Linked DNA regions of Mytilus edulis. The protein of the gene in region 1 binds, or shares a complex with, the protein of each later gene. Links are inferred from orthologs where the notes say so. Each region holds a gene or a part of one and is shown on either strand. Other genes may lie near its edges. The genes, in order: ubiquinone biosynthesis protein COQ4 homolog, mitochondrial-like; 5-demethoxyubiquinone hydroxylase, mitochondrial-like.

Evidence for each region.
Region 2: ubiquinone biosynthesis protein COQ4 homolog, mitochondrial-like (region 1) and 5-demethoxyubiquinone hydroxylase, mitochondrial-like share a complex: the UniProt entries of both Caenorhabditis elegans proteins name them as parts of the multi-subunit COQ enzyme complex. The link is inferred for Mytilus edulis from reciprocal best matches to the Caenorhabditis elegans genes coq-4 and clk-1.

Annotation. Positions count from the first base shown.
Region 1 is NC_092356.1:28,601,384-28,612,232, forward strand, and holds the start of ubiquinone biosynthesis protein COQ4 homolog, mitochondrial-like, read right to left. Parts: upstream 4,207-10,849; 5' UTR 4,157-4,206; coding exon 4,042-4,156; intron 1,667-4,041; coding exon 1,526-1,666; intron 571-1,525; coding exon 474-570; intron 1-473. Other genes in the region: DNL-type zinc finger protein-like, read left to right, coding at 4,270-4,721, 5,380-5,467. UniProt on the Caenorhabditis elegans protein: Lyase that catalyzes the C1-decarboxylation of 4-hydroxy-3-methoxy-5-(all-trans-polyprenyl)benzoic acid into 2-methoxy-6-(all-trans-polyprenyl)phenol during ubiquinone biosynthesis.
Region 2 is NC_092352.1:83,474,585-83,485,744, forward strand, and holds the start of 5-demethoxyubiquinone hydroxylase, mitochondrial-like, read left to right. Parts: upstream 1-6,617; 5' UTR 6,618-6,731; exon of another isoform or gene 6,732-7,191; intron 7,192-7,745; exon of another isoform or gene 7,746-8,115; intron 8,116-8,181; exon of another isoform or gene 8,182-9,397; 5' UTR 9,398-9,409; coding exon 9,410-9,595; intron 9,596-11,160. UniProt on the Caenorhabditis elegans protein: Catalyzes the hydroxylation of the 5-methoxy-2-methyl-3-(all-trans-polyprenyl)benzoquinone at the C6 position and participates in the biosynthesis of ubiquinone.

The DNA.
Region 1 (10,849 bases):
AAAAAGCAAATAAAACTCTAATAAAGTGATTAACATGTCTACCAATCTCTATATTTTGTGTTCACTCTTTTATTTATTATTTTTTTCCCTAGATTTTTTCATGTATATATCTCATATTGGTTTGCAAACTCTGATACATAATGGATGTGTAGTGGCAGTTGCATTCAACAACGCTTTCAAGTTTTCTGCTGAATATAAAAATAAGAAGTTGTGGTATGATAGCCAATGAAACAACACACCAAATGACATAAAATTTAACTGCTATAGTATAGGTCAAGATACAGCCATGAACAATGAGAAAAATTCAGTAAGCAGTTGACGGTTGATTACGTCTCTCCTGGCACCCTGGCTTCCTCAACCAAAAAAAAAGTGGCCTCAGAATTTATCCAATATTACTAAAAGTGGCATTTAACACCATCAATCAAACATGGCATATTTTTTGTTAAAATTATCGATATTTGTTAGACCCTTACTCAATAATTTTTCTGCCAACAGGATCTTCCAACATTTTCTGTTTCATTTTCTTTAGAGCAAAATATCCTGTGGTCTCCCCTAGAGTGGATATCATATCTGAAATGACATTTAACATTAGTTTTAGAAATAACTACAGATTATATCTATTTGATAATCAGATCAATCTATTTGATGTTTTTGCACAAATCCCCTATTTTAAATAAGGTGTAACACCACCATTAAACACAGTACTTATCACAATAGATGAATTATAAATAAATTAACTAATAAATTAACAAATAAATTAACAAATATATTAACAAATAAATTAACAAATAAATTAACAAACAAAAATTGATGTTTCATGTTCCAACAGCACTTTCAGTGTTTTGGTGAGCACGAAGAGAGCATTGCTGTCTTTCTAACATACATATTAACAATGAGGAGTTTAAAACAATTCTGAGTTTTTTCTCCGTTATAAGAGTTTTAGATATTAGAGGTATGCATTTGATAGAAAAGATTAAAATTAAAATTTTACTGAGTGATATGTTCATGATGTTGGTATGAGAACAAACTTAAATAAATCCTCAAAAATGTCACTGTATAGTTGGAGCTCAAACTTAAAGTAGGTTGGAAAATCTATGAGAAAATCATTCATCTTTTTGGGGTCTGGAGGGATAAAAACTATCTATAGAATAAACTCATCATACATACCCGAGTATTAAATTTTGTATTTACGCCAGATGTGCATTTTGTCTAATAAGACTAATCAGTGACGCTCAAATCCAAAAAGGTTAAAACCAAATAAAATACAAAGTTGAAGAGCATTGAGGGCCAAAATTCCTAAAAGTTTTGCCAAAAACCGCTAAGGTAATCTATTCCTGAGGTAGAAAAGCCTTATTAGTATTTCAAAAATTCAAAAGTTTTGTAAACATTTAATTAATAGATATGACCATATCTGATTATCAATGATAATTCAAGTCCACACAGAAGTGCTGACTACTGGAATGGTGAAAAGGCAGGCTGAAATTTTACTAGTTTTTTTTTACCTAACCAATGGCACTTTTCTTACCATCTCTTCTCGGATCATATAAAGACATTGCTGCTGATCCAGCTGATAATAAAACTTTCTGGAATAATGTGGTAGGGATGTGTCCAGGATAAAGATCATCATACTGCAGGGCTCTTTCTTCGTCAGGTTCTTGTTCCTCTTCTACAATTGACAAATGCCAAATGAAAAAAGACTAAAAGTAGATACTGCTAATTTAAAAGAAAGTACAAATGGCTGTAAAAGAAAATATATATATGACTAGATTTTGGTATTATCATTTAAAATTACTTATATTTACAGTGTCTCACAGTGTTATACTTTTGTTGCCTTTATTTATTCACCTCTTATTATATTGGTTTTGTATTTACATTGTGTCATAGATCAAATTTATTCGTTCAGACACTGTAATGTTCACTTGCGTTAATATGTCTTTTAGATTGAGTTGATCAAGCCATTTCAAATGATATTTTATAGTGTGTCTTTCTATGTTGTGATGTCAGAGGCGGAATTAGGGGGGGCCAGGCCCCTTTTTGGAAAAAAATTTGGTTGCTTATATAGGGAATAACTGAAGCGTGTGTGTTACTGAACATGCCTCCCCTTCCTCTTAATTTTTTTAAAATTTAGTTCACTAGTTTAAACATATTTATTTATAGTGGACTGAAAAAACAAGTTTTGCAACTTATATTAATCCCTTTCCACATTGCGGGTGCAAGTGCTGCCTTGTAGAGGCATTAGCCTGCTCTTTTTTCGAAATCTTCAATGTTGTCTTTAATGTGCAAGAGATGTGGCTCTCTCTTATCACAGTCTAGCCATTTATCTTCATCTCCCGATGGAATATCTTCGTATCCTCAAGACCATACTTGCAAATGGTGACAAGGGAGAGCTGAAAATTCATTCCCTGAAATTTTCATCCCGGGGCCGGGAATCAAACTAGTTTAGTTCAGCTTTGTTATCAAGGCTTTAAGGCCTTGACTGATGCAGCTGATACAACACAAGGAGGAACAGCGTTCCAACCCTGAATGGTTCTTAGAAAAATGAGATTTTGAAATAATTGCAGGATGCTGATGACACTGATGGTAAGAAAATATTTATACAGAAATTTTTATTTTTAGTTCTGCGCAAAACCAAAGGTCTCATCACAGGACGAGTTTGAAATCCTATCAATATAAAGGGGGTAAAAATATAAGAAACTCCACTATCACAGTAGAGCTTCATTCGAAAAGAGAGCAAGAGAAGCTCTACTGTGATAGTCGAGTTTGTTATATTTTTACCCCCTTAGGAAGCTACCATTTGATTTTTAGGGGGGGGGAACGACAATTTAGGTAAAAAAAGTCACGATAAACTAAAAAAAAAGAAGGCAGGACCGATTAGAGTGAAAAATAAAAAGGCAGGACAGAGATTACAAATAAAAAAAAATGCAGGTCAAAAATTTTCATCCTAGCCCCCCCATAAAAATCAAATGGTAGCTCCCTTATTGATAGGATTTCAAACTCCTGCGGTCTTATTCACATACTTAACAGTATGCATAGGAATACACATTACATGCTTTTAATCTCTATAACCAAAATTTTCAGAAAAATTGTGAAAGAGAAAATATACAGCTTCAACTTATGAGGGCCCTCATGGGGTTTTTGATTATGTGATTACTTGGCCGTTTTTTTAATGATTATTTGATTATTAAGCCAAATATTTCATGATTATTTGATTACCTAGGACTGTATTTTTAGTTAAGGTTCATCATAACCTTTTGGCTAAAATGGCCGTATTTACACCCCGAATTTTACTCTGAGTACAGACTAACCTATACACCTGCAACATTTTTAAGGGATGGCAGGAACTAGATATATAAATTTTAAATGCATTTTATGTTTCAGAAAATTATAAACTTTTCTAGATTTTGCTATTCATTTTTTTTCGTTCCTGCAGAAGGTTCAAAAATTAACTAAGTAGTGAAAACGATTGAGAAGCTCCCCTCATATAATCAATGTTGTGAGTAGTATTGATTTAAATGGACAATAGATGGACAATAGACACCTGTAAACAATAGGTTATTTAACAGGTTTAAACTGTGTAACTGAGTGGACCGTATCAAATGAAACTCGGGTGTTTGTTTATTTTGCTATCTTCTGCAGACTGGAAAAAAATGAACATCAAAATCCAGGTAAGTTTTTAATTTTCTGAAACGTAGACTTCATATAACTTTTATATATCTAGTTCCTGCCATGCCTTAAAACTTTCCTGGATGTACCAGTTTGTCTGTACTCATAGTAATTTTGGAGGTGTAAACACGGCCATATTTTTCAATTCCTTATGATGAACCTTAATGATTATTTGATTACTAAAGATAAGCAAATATTTAATGATTATGTGATTATATTGGCAAAAAAATGGTGATTATGTGATTACTAGGACCCCCCCCCCCCCCATGAGGGGCCTCACTTATGCTTTGTTTACACTGAAGTAACCTTTAATTATTTTGGTTGAAAATCAATTTTCAGATTTTCACGTTTTTGTAATGAAAAGTAGTTTTAAAGTACCTGGCGCATGATTGCTTGATGTTCCAATACTACATGTCTGACTAACAAGTCGACAGCTTCGTTGTGTCAACTTCTGTAAAACCCTACACCTTGTAAATGTCAAGCTAGATGTCATTTTTGTTCCCTTTTTCTACTTTCGCTTTGTATGTCTGTACATTCCGCGCATGCTCATAGAACCGGATGTTGCATGTGTTTTTGGCTAAATATTAAAATGAAAGTACACTAATTATGAATCCTGTAAGAATATTCTTAAGAAATGCAGCTATTAAGGAGGCAAATCGGACAACTTATATGTGTAACAACAAATGCAACATAATTTTAAGAACTTTTAGTTTGAAAAGTGGTATTCAAACAAGTTTGCAAGGTAGCAACACCTTCAAAAAACAATTGGTAGATGGCAGATATATTGGATACTTTTTCCCTAATAGGATATTGTGTTCACCGAGATATTACAGTAGTGAACAAGATGATGAAGGACAAACACAATCAAATCAGACACTAGGAAAAATTAAAGGAACACTGCTCATGGCTTACAAATGTAAAGTTTGTGGAACAAAAAACCAAGAAACATTTTCTAAACAAGCTTATGAAAAGGGGGTTGTTATTGTCACTTGTAAAGAATGTAAAAGTAATCACTTGATTGCTGATCATCTTGGCTGGTTTCAAGATTTCAAAGGAAGGTAAAACATTTTTTATTATTACTTTCAGTCAGAGACATATATACATGTGTATATATGTCTCTGTTTCAGTGCATGGCCCATTCTCAAAAGGGGTCTAAGTGTGAAGCAGGATTGGCCCATTTTTTTTAAGCGTGATACTTGAATTAAGTCCAATAATTAAGCGTGAAAATGGGAAACAAAGTATGGCAGAACACTGGAAATCACATGCGCTATTACATGTATTATGGCAACAAGAAGCGGGATACAGGATTCTCACTTAACCAGTTAACAATAACAGTTCAGAATGAAACCCCCACAAAATATTAAAAAAAAATAAACATCAACATGAAATAAAGATTAAGACTACTCTTTATAAAAATACCTACATGTATATGCCAGTGACGGATCCAGGGGGTCTGGGTGATGGACCCCCCTTTTCTTTCTTTTAACTAGTAATGCATTTGAATGGGGACACATAGTTTAGTTTAGTCAACCCCTGATCCTTGCACATACATCCAAATAGAAAGATATCTTATCTAATATACTGTAGTTACAGATGTTCTTTCAAATATAATGTTATGCATTTTCTTGTCTATTGCTTCAAGTCCTATTAACTGGCCATGCTGGCTTTCACCTGATATAAGCAATTAATTAAAATTGTGCTTTAATTCTTTTAAAGGACTATTGAAGAAATTTTGGCTGAAAAAGGAGAAACTGTGAAGAAAGTTGTGCTTGATGGTGGAATGGAACTGATTCCAAAAAACTAATAAAAATAATGATTCTTAATTGTGTATATATGTTTGGAAATAAATAAAATTGTTTTTAAACAAATATGTTTTGATCAGTACATCTCTAAAATTGAGTATGGAAACAGCGAATGTGTCAAAGCTACAACAACCAACCAATGAGAAGAAAACTGCTGGGTCATCAACACTAAAAAAAATCCGCACATGGAGACAGAGTGTAATCCAAGAGTATCCCTGTGTATTATAATCATATTCCTAATCCATACACAAGTTTAATAAAAATGAAAATATATACTAAGAGGTCAAATATCTGCAACATGTACTAGGACAAGTAAAACTTGACTGTTTATCCCATTATGAATTTTCCATTTTTATGTATTAACATTCCTGCACCACATGCACACATATATATGGATTGTTTATCTCCAGGTATTGTCTTGCCTGAACGCAAGTCTGAGAATTGGACATAAGAATGCTAATTTGGTATTTGGCATTGCGGCTAGGCTAGTGAATAAAATATTATACAAAGCTTTATATCTCAAAAAGGTAAAAGAGCTGAATGATTCATATCTTGTAGAATGATACCATATATTTATGTTACAATGTTTCTGTCTGGCATATGTCCATTTTCTTTCAACTCTTTTTCAATTTTCAGTAGTTTTTTTATGATGGGCATTTCTCACTTTTATTAGTATAAATAGGTTATTTATTTTTGATATATGGTATCCTTGCAAGGTCTTTTTTTGTATGTAAACAGGGCTCATCTGACCTTGGCCTCAACTCAGATAAGTGATCAAGGTTAAGTTTTCATCTTTACAAATTGTGACTTGGATGAGAGAGTTGTCTCATTAGCATTCATACCACATCTTTTCATATCTATTTCGTCCTTAGTCTTAGATACTAAAAGTAGTAGGTCAACAATATTTGGATCAATTGTAAGATGTAAATGTCGTCTCGCAGGGTTAGTCTGACCTTGAACTCATTTTCATAGTTCGAATGGTAAATGTCAAATTTTCTCAAGTGCTGTAGGATGAAGATGGTTAAATCTCTGCTTGGTCGAAACCAAAACTTGCTGCCTCTCTAATTAGCATTATGAGTTTAGTAGGAGGAGCAAAGACTGGTTGGCGCATTTAGATTTATGTAGATATAAGAAGATGTGGTTTGAGTGCCAATGAGACATTTCTCCCCTCCAAGTCACAATTTGTAAAATACAGTCTTAAACAGGGAGCCTTGGATCACACCAAAAGCAGGAAGCTATAAAGGGCCTCAAAAATGACATGTGCAAAATCATTCAAACAGGAAAACCAAAGGTTTAATCTTTACAAAAAACAAGAAACGAGAAACTATTATGAACCACACTCCCAGAGACACCTACTGAACATCAGATCCTGACTTAAGACAAGTGCAAACAAATACAGCAGATTCAAATGTTTTGATAGGTACCAACCTTCGCCCTTATCTTATGTGTTTGGTATGATGACATTTCTTTCTTTGGACTTACTTTGGACATATTTATAAAGTATAGTATTAAGAAGGATTGTTCATATCATATGCACATATATTGTCCTGAAAATGTATGTAATATTTGCCACTTGACTTTGAATTTTCATCAAACAAGATTTTCAAATACCATCTCTGCTCTTATCTAGCTGACTATCTTTAAAATACAATATAAATATAAGAAGATGTGGTATGATAGCCAATGATACATCTCTCCACAAAAGACCAAATGACACAGAAATTAACTATAGGTCACAGTAAGGCCTTCAACAACGAGCAAATCCATAACACATATACAATAGATAAATAAAAAGACTTGATGAAATGAAAACACCATTTATTATCAAAACAAAAATAAATAAGTACATAGAGTAAATGATAAGTATTTTTTATAAATCTTGTTTAAAAAAATGATCATATGTTCAATTTAATTTCATGTAATTAATAAATAAGTCTAAATAATACCTAAATAATAATGCCAAAATTTAAAAGGGAATTTAATACATGTACAACTCATGTATGTCCCTTTACATTTATTATAACTTTTAAACCTTTTTTACTACCTCAAGGTATCAGATATTTAAAGATTTACAGATAAAGTTAAATGAGATCTGGAAAAAAATATATATTGAACACATATCGAGATCATATATATTGCACCAAAATACTTTTAAAACCAGTGGAATCCACAAAATTTGTGAAAACAACAAGTATTATAAGTGAAAAGGAAAAATCAATCCTGTAAAACTACACCAAAATCCTTGACTGAAAAATGGGTTATTTTTTAATATGTCTTTGAATTAATTCAATATTCGAGCTCATCAAGTAATTTCTTTCCCTAGGATTCTTTCCTAATTGAATGAAATTTGTGTGGGGAAGATATACACCAAAGGCATTTACTATACTGGAAATTCTACAAACCAAAATAAATGTACTGTACGCTTACGCTAGCTAGCTTAAATCAAAACTTCAGACAATGCAGCAGTAGAAGAATCATAAGAATTCAACTTTTATTAGAAAAAAAATGCTTCCATAAAGTTGTGAAGAGTTTAACCATTTGCAGAACAGTGAATTGCAGTTGTTTGCCAACAAAATTACACAGCCCATTTATGAAATATGAAATAAGGGGTAAAACATGATTGGAGGTACAGGACTACTTGACGACTGTGGTTCTTATTAAATTAATTTTGGACACTGTTTATTTTTTAAGTATTGTGGAAAACTTTCATCTCTTGAGTATGGCAAAGCGTTAATCAAATGAATAGATCTTCAAATTAAGTCAAAACAGTTTGTTGAAAATTAATTTACCGGTACACCATTTTTCAGTCAAGGATAAAATGTGGGGAAATGTTTAAATTTATTTAAGTAGATAAACAATTAATACAAAGACAACAATAACATACATATATGATATCTGAAATACAAACATTTAAAAGACAAAGATGATGAAACAACACACACTTCCTGTTAAAGTTCATACAATTAGTATCCCATGATTCAAAGTATGATAACTCTCCAAAAGAATGCAGGATTATTCAGGATAAACTCCAAAAAGACAGGAATACAATAAATATAGAATAATATTCTGTTCACAGAACAAAATTAATAGCAAAAGTAATAATAATGCGTCTAAATACTACAAATGAAACTGAACGCATAAACAATGCTTTGTTAAAGCAAATTAAGAGACAATAAAATTAAAGCATGTTTCAAACTGCTAGCTTAATCTGAAGAGGCCATGAGACTTCGGGAAATGCATTTTCTCATAATATTAAAACTTTTCTTTAAACAGTGAGTAAAAATTCAGAAAATGGGCTTCAGTAGGGTATTCCCCTTAGGTCACAGGGTCACGTTCCAACAAATAAAATGTTTAAATAAAAGTGTGACAGGATTACTATCCTTCATTAGTAGATACTTAATTATTCAACCATAAGCAGTTGATCTAAGAAAGTACTTATAAAGGGCAGCAATCCCTCACAAATGTACTAACAGGTCCTAAATAAGACATCAAGGGGCAAGGTAGAAATCCTTCTTTCTCCCATAGGTCCCATCTGGGAGCCACATAAATAAAGGAAAATTACAGTTGTTCATAATGAACAAATTAGATGCCAATGATGTAATTTTTCTAAATTTTAACTTTGGATCAATATTATTCAAATAAAATTACGGAATCTTATAAGTCTCAGATTTAAAGCATGTAAAAAGCTGAAAAAGGAAATAAACTGACAAAAATTATAATTCAAAATAGAAAATACAGAAGAATTATTAAGAAAGCACTTTAGTAAAATTACTTTTAAAAGAAAATATTAAGTCTCATTTTAAGTAAAGATCCTGAAATAATCCTGTTTCCGTTATTTTGTACAAATATAACATTTATAATGGCTGATGCAATGAAAATGGAATAAATGATTTTTATGATTTTGATTTTGAAAAAATTTTGTATTCAGATATTTAGCAGATCCTGTTCAAATGAAGCAACATCTAAACTGTCAATTGAATACCGGTAGGTTTTTGGTGACCTCAAATGCCCAAATTTTGGCATCTTAAAAAAAATCGTCTATACAGGACTGTCAACAAAATCATTGTCCCTGCTCAGTTTATGAGGGGGATGACGCGCTGGCATTCATTTGCCAACCACCCCACCCCCCTTTTTTTCCCCAATTTCCACTACTTTTCCTTCTTTTTTAGAGATCAAACTTTTAACTGTCATTATATCTCATCCCTTAAGCATGTCATCCCCCTCATTTATGTCACAACATCCAATAAAGCTTAACTTTTTCTTTCTAAGAAATCTAATGTACACCTATTCTATCTTTCAATAATTACAATGCTGACGTCAGGTCATTTAAGATAAAAATTTCTTATCCTACATCCACCATTAGATATACTTAATGTACATACACGATATAATATCCTACATCTGTACAATAAAACAAATACAGGCTTTGCACCGCAGAATGAATATATGTAACCATAATTTCTATACAGAAAATGTATAAAATTTATATACCTTGCCATATCAATCTCCGATTTTAATGCCCAAACTTGTTTTTTTTGACAAAATACTAATCAGTGGTTGATTAAAAAAAATCAACAGAGTTGGGTCTCATTTGGGTAATGGAATGTTTTGGCCATAAAAAGTTAACAAAAATATTCAAAATAATTGGCAATTAATCAAAACCTTTGCAATCAACTTAAAGTGGAATAAAAAAGAGATATGTTTTACAAGAATTACAATTTGTTCATGTTCCATGATAGAATCGTTAAAATTTAAAGTTAAATAATGTTAATCTTCATATCTGAATCATATGAGGAAGATGTTTGGGTTTTTTTTTCTAAAAAAGACTGCAAATGAATTCACATTTTCTTTTTGTAAAAAAATGGAAAAATAACTAATCAAAATTTTTTTTTTTTTTGACTTTACAAATATTGATAGTTGCATTGTCAGCAAATTTTTGAATGAAAAATTCAGCTGTAGATAGAGGAGGAAGCATTATAGCAGACATGCCTTAAAATATTCTAAGATAATTCTAATATAATAATATTTAAAAAAAAGACCAAAAGATCACAAGACACACACTTAGTTACAAATCTCTAAGCTATATTTATAATGTAGACAAATATCTTAACCCTATGATAAAAATATAATTTATTGAGTATTTTCATTTTCTCAAAATATCATTAGGAGTTAGCTACATGTACCGGTATATAAAATGTCAGTAAAACATGCAAGTCTGAAAAAGACAAGTTTAACAATATTTATTGGTTTTGAAAATGTATAGAGTGCAGTATAAATATTTTTCATAAATAATCTTATAAATCAAAATTCTGAATTTTACTGGTTTAATTTCACTTATAAATAGTATTCCTATTCAAATTTTATCTCCAACAACTTACTTTTCA
Region 2 (11,160 bases), on another chromosome or scaffold:
ACAATAACTTACATATCATTTAACCTAATTAATTTTATACAAAAGATGTCTATTAATTTTATATTCTGTGAGGATATATTCATTTTATGAAATTACTGTGAAAGTGAAAGGGCATTAAATAAAATTACAAAAGATTTAAGTCATATATATTTCATTTTACCAAATATATATTTATCAATAAATTGAAGTGAAATACATTATTAACTTTAAACTTTATTGAAAAGTTAACAAGCACATGTTTGAAACATCAACTCACCTATTAAATAAGTGTCTAATACTATACTACATGTAATAAAACATATACCATTTGGCTGGGAAGTAATATATTTTTTATCTTCTTTTTCAGCTTCGGGTTAGGAAATAAGGTTATTTCCTGACACTTTATATATTAAACAAATGTAGTATTCAGTACGGTCACTATCATACATATAATTTAAGTGCTTTTCCTGTACTTTTCCTAAATTGTTATTTAGAATTCACTGGTTGAGAGCTCATAAAAGGGGGAGGGTTGTTGAAATTTCAATCACAATAGGTGTTTATTATTTGCATCTGTCCTTAAGTTAATACAAATTGCTACTTTTAAAAGAAAACTTCAGTCTATTTTTCTGAACTGAGAGCAGGATTGCTTTTACAAAATTCCTAAAAAAAACCATCAACAAGAGTGCACATTGCTGAGTTGTCTCACCTGCTTTATAGATCAGGATTGAACTTTTATGTTGAAAGTCTAAAATATTAAGGTTTTACACAGATATCCCATCCAACTTTATAAAAACATTATAAGAACCATGATAAGGTTAAATAGTGATATATGACCTTGCCAGATATGTGCACCTACCAAAAGGGTTTAATATGTTGCAAAATGGGAATCATTTAATGTGGGTCTCATTGGGGTCTAAGCGTGATGTGGGATTGACAATTTTTTGTAAGCGTGACACGTGAAAGTCACATTATTGTGCCATGAAAACAGGAAATGAAGTCTAGCGGGAAACAGGAAATTACAAAAAAATGAGAATTGCGTACATAGTGCAACTGGGTAACGGGAATCTGACAAAACAGTAAGGGGGATCCGGGATCAGAACCTCCCCAATGAGACCCACTTTAATTAAGTCTCAATTCTAATAGTCACAATTTGTCAAAAAAAAACAAACATTAATTCTTTGATATATTCCTTTCCACTATATTATTCCAAATTTTTGCATTTTTTTTAAAGTTTCAACAGTTTTACTCAATTTTCCTCCCGTTTTTATGTTTTAGAATAATAAAATTGAGAATGGAAATGGGGAATGTGCCAAAGAGACAACAACCTGACCATAGAAAAAAACAACAGCAGAAGGTCACCAACAGGTCTTCAATGTAGCGAGAAATTCCCGCACCCGGAGGCGTCCTTCAACTGGCCCCTAAACAAATATATACTAGTTCAGTGATAATGAACGCCATACTAATTTCCAAATTGTACACAAGAAACTAAAATTAAAATTTAAAATATGTTTACTTTAAATACCTGCTCATTATGTTACATCCTTACATTCATTCCAATTTGTAAATTATCTCCCTTGAAACTGTCTAAAACAGCATATTTACATCTATTGACATTTTATATTAGGCGTTTACTGTAAATATTATTATAATATGTATATTTTATGTCAAATCAACAAAAAATATAGTCCTTGATCATGATTTACAACAAAAATCAAGAAATGGTATTAGTTTTGCCGTAGGTAAATTGCATAAATACATAAGGTATGAACCAGATGTTTACAACTCTATTGTATAAAATACCAAAAATAAATATATGATATGGGAAAAAAATTGTTTATTTAAATGTTTATTTTATCAAGGCATGAAAAAAATATCAACAGATAAGTAAAAAAAAAATTTGAAATCTCAAAAATTAACTTAAAGATGCATTGTTCTAAGCTACCAGACAATTTTTAAATAAGGCCAAATAAAATAATATGTGTGGTTCCAGTTACATCTAACAAATATTAGGGTAGGTCGGTAGGGATTTTTAAAAAGTTTTGTTTTATTCTTACATTGAGTCTATGGGAAAAACATTCTGACTTTAACAGTGCTAAAATGCAAAATGGCAAAAGACTTTAGGGTAGGCTATTATAGAGACTAAAAAGTAGGGTAGTAGGGTACTGGAACCACGTGCACACATACATTTTTATATGGCCTTATTGAAATAAAATCCTTCGCAGCTTGATACGTCCGCAAGTATTGACACAACATTCACGCTTTGAAGCAGCTCTTAAATATTGTCCTGAGGCAAAGGAAATGCTTGTTTTAAGCTCTTATTCATAATTAAGCAGTTGGAACAAAATACCTTTCTTCCGTGGTATAGAACCTTGTGGTACAATTGCATACAGATCCATACATATATATATTTAAGTTGTTGTACAGAATCCAAATGTCTTTGGAAAATTTTGACGGCCCAATAAAATACAGTTTAAAAACAAGGATAGTTTGTATGATTGCCACTGAGATTTACTTTCACCAAAGACTAAAGGGACCAAACAGGAAAGTCAAAATCTAAGACAAAGGTTGTTATTAATTTACAACCTCATGTTTCAGTGCAATTATGTAAATCAATGAACTGGAAATCTACATGACTAAAATAACTACAAAAGTACTAAAATGAATAAAAGCTCTTTAAAACTGGCCTCACAAAAACATTTTGGAAAGTATGATTTTATAATACTAGTAAGTTTATATTGTGTAAAAGCAAATCACTGGTACTTTTGACCACTATCAGTCCATTAAAAAATTTCTGGTCCAGTCATACATGTCATAAGGCCATTTTAACTTTAATGAATGGAAGATATCAATATACCCTCAAGGTTGATGTGTATTCAATGATAATATTTGGTTTAGATTTAAAGGGTTAAGTAAATATTCACCCCAATTCAAAAAAGTTCAACAATCTCTTGTGTATATTTAAATGGCTAACACATAATAAGTAATTGTTAATTAAATGGACTTATATTAAGTGTCAATAGCCATAATGATTAGCAGGCTAAGCTACTCCAAACTGTTAATGTTAATTGATTTATGCTAATCTTGCATGCCCTGTTATGAATCTTTAACCCTACCAGACACATCAAAAATTATCAAAATGTGATATGGGGAGTATCAGCTCAACAAGACAGCAACCTCACATCAATAAAGAAAAAAACATCTAGAGGCCAATACACAATATAATTTCTTCAAGCAAAGACCACTGTTGAGGACTTTAAAATACTGTGGATTTGTTTTTTTTTGTGGGTACCTATTTTTTGTTCATTCAAGGTAAAACTTGCATTTTCGTAGATATTTAATTACATGATTTACTACAGTGACTGCTTATATACAAACCTACATTTTTTTGTAAAAGAACATTTTTATTTCAATAGATATTACAAAATGTATTAGTCCCATAGGAAAGATGTGCCTTAAAAAATAGCTTGTTGCACATGACTAGCATGATTGCCTCCTGTATCTAAGACATAGACAGAAATAGGGGGAAAGGGGAGATGGGGGAATGGGTCTGGAAAGGATTCTGAATAGGATTATTGTTCTCTTCTTTTTTTTAGCCAAGAAAACATGAAAATTATATTTTTTTATTGTTCCCCTTTTTCTGTAAAATTGAGAATGGAAATGGGGAATGTGTTAAAGAGACAACAACCCGACCAAATAAAAAACAGCAGCAGAGGGTCACCATGTATTGTGAGATTAATCAAATTACCAACAAGAATGTGTCCATAACCCAGGGATGCCCCATCCACACTATCACTTTCTATGGACCGTGAAAATGGGGTAAAATCTCTAATTTGGCATTAAAATAAGAAAGATCGTTTCATAGGGAACATGTGTACTTAGTTTCAAGTTAGTTGGACTTCAACTTCATCAAAAACTATCTCAACCAAAAACTTTAACCAGGAGCAGGACAGACGAACAGATGCACAGACCAAAAAACATAATGCCCATAAATGGGCCATAAAAATATTTACTGCAATTCTTGGACATCAATATAATCTTTCAGAATTCATACATCTACAACAACAAAAATTATTTTATAGACATATTAAGTTTTTAACTCTTGCACCCCTTTATGACTTTAAAAAGTTAAATGTTTTTTAAATATCATAATTACTTATTTGAATTTAAAACATAACAAATATTGACTGTAATTGGCCATCATGAGTATCAAGGTCGTTTCAATTATAAAAATAATAAATAAAATATATGCTATATTGTCATACTGAAAATTTAAAACCTTTTCATTGTTGTAATATTTGTCTACAAAAATAGCATTTACCTGACGTTCCCAGTAAATTCAAAAGACTTATATAAGACATTTATCTTACATTATAATAAAATCCGATGATTTGAAACTTCTGCACTGATGCACAATTATGATCAGTCCATTAATTTCATACACATTTTTTACGAGAATAATAAAATCATTGTCAAAACGGTTAGACTAGTCTTATGCTTGAAGCAATTAAACCTTTAAAAATCAAGATTGGAAGTCATATTATATCGAACTTCACTACCAAATATGTCAATAATTTCAAGGCGTAACACATAGTAACAAAGAGGATGTGATTCGCCTTTCTGATTTTTATCACATTCAGATATTCTATCATAGTTCGATTTAACATGAAAATTGGCATTACTAAGTTAAAAGCAAGTATTAATAAGCCATTTATAACAAGGTTTCCATATTAACAGCTCAGCTATCCAGGGTTTGTTTTACTTTTGTTTCTAATTGCCTGGGGTCAATTTGATTTTAATCTTGGTGTTATAAGATGAAATGTTCTTATCTGATCCTCCATAGAAACTGGCTGCCACCGAACAGCCCACATAGTCTGACAGTACAGAAAGAGGAATTAAACACCAAAAAATCAATCAATCAATCTTATTTGATCCAATCTGATAAACTGGTTTAAAATGATATAAGGTTTCCAATTTTCTTTTAGAATGTTTAGTCCCAGATGCTTTGGCGAATTAATGTGGGACATTCCAATGCGCCAGCAAATCATAAAAAAAAATCTTCAGGGTTGAAACAATTTTAAGACTACATTGTCTTCCGCAGGACTGAAAGTTTTGAAGAGGGTTAAAATCCTGACCCTGTAGAAACCTTTAGTCTCATTGCAATGATCTTTACATTTTTGTACATAAACATTGTACTGTAACAGTTGATCATGTTAACAACCATTAATTATCCCTAAAACAAATAAGGTCTGAGGTATAATGTACATGAAGTCCTTAACAACTTTTGGTTTGATTTTGCAATTGGCTAGTTGTGATGGCACTGTTGACACAAATCTACTGTGTACAATGACACAATTCTGTCTTTGACAGGTAGTATGTCTATGAGAATACAATATGAAGCACTATCAAGATCAATATTTCCTAATTTTAACAGCAGAAATCAGCACATTGAAGTGTTAATCAATTTTATGTGAGTGGTCACTCTAAGGCCAAAACAAAAATTACTTATGTAGTGGTTAGAACCTCTAGGTTTTTAAAAAAAACATAAAGTGAATGGTCATTGAAAGATGTAAAACTAAATTGGCTAGTTGTCTCTTGAGAGATGTCTTAAAAATAGAAATGTGTGTGACACTGTGTGTACACACAATTCTGATGCCACAGGCTGGAAATAACAAAAAAATGTGGTATGATTGCCAATAAGACAACTCTTCACAAGAGACTAAATGACACGGATATTAACAATTATAGGTCACTAAACAACCTTCAACAATGAGCAAAGGCCCATACCTTATAGTCAGCTATACAAGGCCCCGAAATTGACAAATGTAGAACAATTCAAACCAGAAAACTTAAATGGCCTAATTATATTTTTAATGTACAAAAAAAATATAATGAAAAATATTTATAACCGAGCTGAGCAACAAAATTGTTTGGTTCAACTAAAAGACCTGTAAATGTGCTACTATTTACATGCATTTTAAATAGTCCAATATCAGAAATTTTTGTTTGAAATTCTCAATAAATACCTCAATAAAATCTTTTTAATTATGCATCAATTTTTAACATGTATAAAATTATAAATACAAAATCAATATTTGCATACCTGAATTTTGAAAGCATCTAAGAATGAAATGCATTATTTAAATTCATTCAATGTTCTAATGATTTGTAGTAATTAACAGACATTTCATTCATACTTGACATTGACATTGTATATATCTGTCAATCACAAAACGAAAAAGAGCATCTTTGATTGAAACATAAATAATTATAAATTGAATAAAAATTCCTTACCTAATTTGTCATGTCAACTTCTAAATCGTTTTTATTTACTCTTTCTCAATCGTTTTCTGTGTATTATGTGAGTTCTACATCTGATGAAATTTCCCAATACACAAAAATCTAACAATTCCATTCACAAATTCTGACAGCTCTTGCTCTCAGCTGTTTCATCAAAATATTACAATTTACTGATATTTGATTGGTTAAAAAATAATCTTACAATTTTTATCAATGGGTAAAAAAATAAGACGTTTTCGTAACAAATATTTTGCATTGTTGATGAATTAAATAAATACTTTCTAACCAAGGACATGTACTCAATTTATTGAGTGATTTAAAAAAAAAAATGTTTATAATATTTTCTCCGAGACTTCAATATGTCAGCGCCCATATTTATAGCAGACGATTTACGTAACTTTCTTCAAGTTTTGATGTCTGTGGTCACATAGGACAGAAATATCGATAATACGACTGTAATTTATTTTCTATGAGAGGTTAAAGCACATATTTAATTAATTTAGATTTTAAATTTTTAGTTGTTATATATGAGAAATAATTCAAATATGATAACATGGTCTTGGTCACGTACAAATTATAAAACTGACCTGTGCAGTAGAATTGGTTTGTACCTACAAGTTTCAATACTGTTAGTTAGCATATCTTTGTGTCACGAGATTTAAAGTTTTGATGAAGGTCACATCATCCTTGATATTTTAATCTTGATTTCTGTAATAAATTTCTGATGTAATGTTTTGATTTAATTTCAAACACTGCATAATAATTGAGTGGGGTTGGAGGGTTCCTAATCCCGAAATCCCGGGCTAAAAAACATGAAATCCTGAGGTCCAGAATTTAAAGAAATTTAAATCCCGACATCCTGAAATTTGAAAAAAGAGTTCCCGGATCCTGAAAGGATCGATTCCGAAATCCAGAGTTAAAAAACACCCAATCTAATACACCTTATCGCTATTTGTCCGCCATTGCTGGAAATCACACAGGTTCCCGTAAAATTTTGACGTCATAAAACAAAATGTCTGACGCCACAATGAAAAAGTGATTGTTGTTGACGTCAAAAGTTCAAGCGGACGGGTCAGCCGGGAATAGCGATAAGGTGTATTAAAAACCGATCTTTCATCGCTCCTGTTTCTGATATGTCGCGTGGGAGATCTAACGAAACCCGCTTTGAGGTCACATGTGAGTGACCTCGTAGGTGTGTCTTTTTCGACCAATTAAATTGAGTCTTCCACGATCTTGGAAGTTTAACATAAGGCAAAGGGATGTAACTCATTTTATTTACCACGAAATCGTCAGTCATAATAATTCATAAACTTTTTTGATTGGCTTATTAATAGGTCGTCAACTCATTTGCATATCTTTATAAATTCATGACTTTTAGTTCACTCACATGTGACCTCAAAGCCGGTTTCGTTAGATCTCCCACGCGACATATCAGAAACAGGAGCGATGAAAGATCGGTTTTTAATTAGATTGAAAAACACCCGATCCCGACGACCCGAAAAAGGTCCTGCCCCCCTCATAATGTCATTGTCCTGAAGTTGACGACACTACATCAACAGACTTTAAATTTACTTTGTTTATTCTTAACTTTGTAATCATACTGAACATGCATGAAATATTTGCCACTGGACATTACATCAATCAATCAAATTATCTTAGCTTTAATGTTTGTTTGCACAACTTGAATCCCTGCTTGGGGGTCCTAATACTAATAGGGATACTTACATGACAAAAAACAGTTACTATTAATCTTGCCAAATTGTCATTTACTGAATTCACCAGTCTACACGGTTAGCCACTAGTCCGATGCCCCAGACTAGTAAAATTTGGTTAGGACTAGTAAGTTTTTGCAAAACTTTGTTTGGCCAAATAACAAAAATGTCAGAATATTGGTCTTTTGACTAGTAGTTGAAAAAGTTTTTGGTGCAGACTGTGTGACCACAAAAATATGGGTGAGTTGTCAGGTATGGCTAACAGTAACATAAAATGGCATTCTTACCCTTCTGCCTTGAAATCCTGTACCGGTATATGCTATGCTCGTTAACTTCTTTTGTCTGGTAAGTATCATTAGTAAACGAAAATGAAAGACTTACTAGATGACCGTAACCAAACTGGAGGAACTTCTTCCATGGTCTCCATGGAGTGTGAAAATTTGATACAATCTTCAATTACTAAACCACTATCATCCTGTTTTATGCCCCATCATAGGCAACAGGGTATCAAGTGCTACCCTTGACTGTCCATCCATCTGCCCCTTTTTTTGTTTCCCCACTCTGACTTAAGTTTGTCTCATTTAAATTTTCTGAAACCCATACACAATACTAAGAATCAAAACTTGCAGACAGAGCTCCAGTTTATGTAGTGAGTACTTTAGATTCAAGAGATACATGTAGAGGAACATACATGTAACAAGAGACCATATAACAAGGAAATTAGCAACTATAGGTCACCAAGGGGCCTTTAACAATGACCATACTGCATAGTTAGCTTCATGCTTAAAAGGCTTGGAAATGACAAATGTAAAACAATTCAATTTACGGCCTAATTTATGCACAAAATAATGAATACTTTGATAAAGGAAAAACAAATATGTTACACAGCAACAAATGACAACCAAGTTTCCTTGAATTACAGGCACATACAGAATTGCCTGAGGGAGTTAAAACCCTCATTTCTTTATAATTTCAAAATTTATAAATGTACAATTTTAGTAAGCCAAAGTTTGTTATAAATCATGTCAGTACTGATGATATCATTTGGGATTGATAGTATTAACCCATGGCCAGTGCTGTAAAAAAGGAAAACAACAGTTCAACAGTTTTTTTGGTTTTTTTTAATTCAATAAATCAAATTTTTATATTGTAAATGTGTCTTTCTCAACTAATTTTAATATGGTAACATATATTAAAGCTGTTTTCAGCTGTTTTCAGGTCTTTGATGGGTTGTTGTCTCTCTGACACATTCCCCATTTCCATTCTTAATTTTAATTGGTATCACTTTTATCGTTATTAATTCCCTTTATAACATTGTTTATACAAGTGGGGTTATATCATCTGTGACCCACAGACATATCTCCATTTATTTTCTGATTTACTTTTACCATTTTATTTAACTAAAACAGATAATTTGTAAAATGGCTTCAAGTTCACTTGTACGAATACCATGTCGTTGTATGAGCAAGATGGCTAGACAGAAACGCAGTAGAGAACTTGTGGACAAAATAATCCGTGTGGATCATGCAGGAGAGCTTGGCGCTGACAGAATTTACCAAGGACAGCTGGCTATATTGGGGAATACTTCCGTAGGACCAGTTATAAAGGTAATTATTGATGTGTCCAACACAGACTTTGGAGCAGTGACCGTGATCCTCCAACCCTAATGTCTTTTTATTGCAACCTTTTGATTTCAAGCACTTGATCTTCTCTGCATTAATCTTAAGTTTTGTGATAATATGAAGTAAAACTTTTTTATAAGTTTGGAAATAAATCATATTAAAAATTTTCATAGATAAATGTGATTATAGCAATAAAGTTTAGACCAGACAAAGTTCAAAGTTAGGTTTTTGAACTTTGTATGTAACGTTCAAATGATTCAAACTCAAACATTAAATCCTTTTGATTTTATTGATACATATATGTATCTAATACTTTTACAAATTTTTGTATTGAAATATCAATGACAATGAATTGTGCATATTTGTATTTTTATTTAAGGATTTTAAATTGGAAATAGAATGTATTTTGCATCACTTGTTTGATTGGTCAACTTAATTAAAATCATTGTCTTTTTATAGTAAGAGCATGCAAGCATATCCAGTCATTTCGATGAACTGTTAAATCTACCATTTGTCTACAGGCCCAGAGCTCAATTTTTGAAATTTTTTATTTTGATTCTGTTGGCCTGTAGATATGATTTTTACAGGCCCAAAAGCAATTTTACAATCCTGGGCTGTCTGGGCTGCCACTTAGCATGAAAGACTGCATATCTAAATACAACATATCATTTCAGAATTTTAAATTTGTTTACAATAGTTTCTAAAATGTAGAAATATGGAAATCCTCATGATCAGTTTAAGAGAATACATCATGATTCTTTTCAAAATGTATTTTTGTTATGTAGCCTTGCAAAAAATTACTATAGCTTCAATCTAATGGACTAGAGAATTAAGTTACTGTATAAATGAAGGCAATTGCATTTTTTGCTAATTTCAAAATTGTTAAACTATAGGACATATAAAAGCTGATAAATGTTTATGTTAGAAGCTAAATTGTAACAATGGAACTTCAAAATTTAGCTCATAGTTTTCTGTGCACTTGTTCTGCTTTTATGCACCTCAACTGCACACATTTCAGTCTGTCAGAACAACTGTTAAACAAGGCAAAACTCGCATAAAGAAAATTTTGTATTTAATTAAGAAAACTAATCAGATTTACATGGTCTTCTTTCAAGGTTTCAAGCGAAAATCAATGCCTTCTATTTATCAGACTCAATTTTGTCTTAATAAACAGATTCATCACAGACGTTCAGTAATATTGTGGCATTGCATTGAACTGTTATAAAAGCATAAAACCTAAAGCTTTAGGTGTAGCAATTGGATATTAGTAGGCCCACACAAAATTATTACAATGTATTATTGTGTAGATAATATGATTATATACATGTGCATATTAACGCAAATGAGACTAGGAAATAATTTCAATTTATGGTATTTGTTTAGATAACGATTCAAATATAACTGAAAGATAATTAATATATTATGGAGAGTCGATACAGTTTCACACTGTATTGTCATATTTGTGATATAAATGTGTTGCTGATGGAGATAAGTTCTTTGTAAATTATGAGATAAAACATAGCTCCCTGTTTGTTCTTTAGAAAATAATC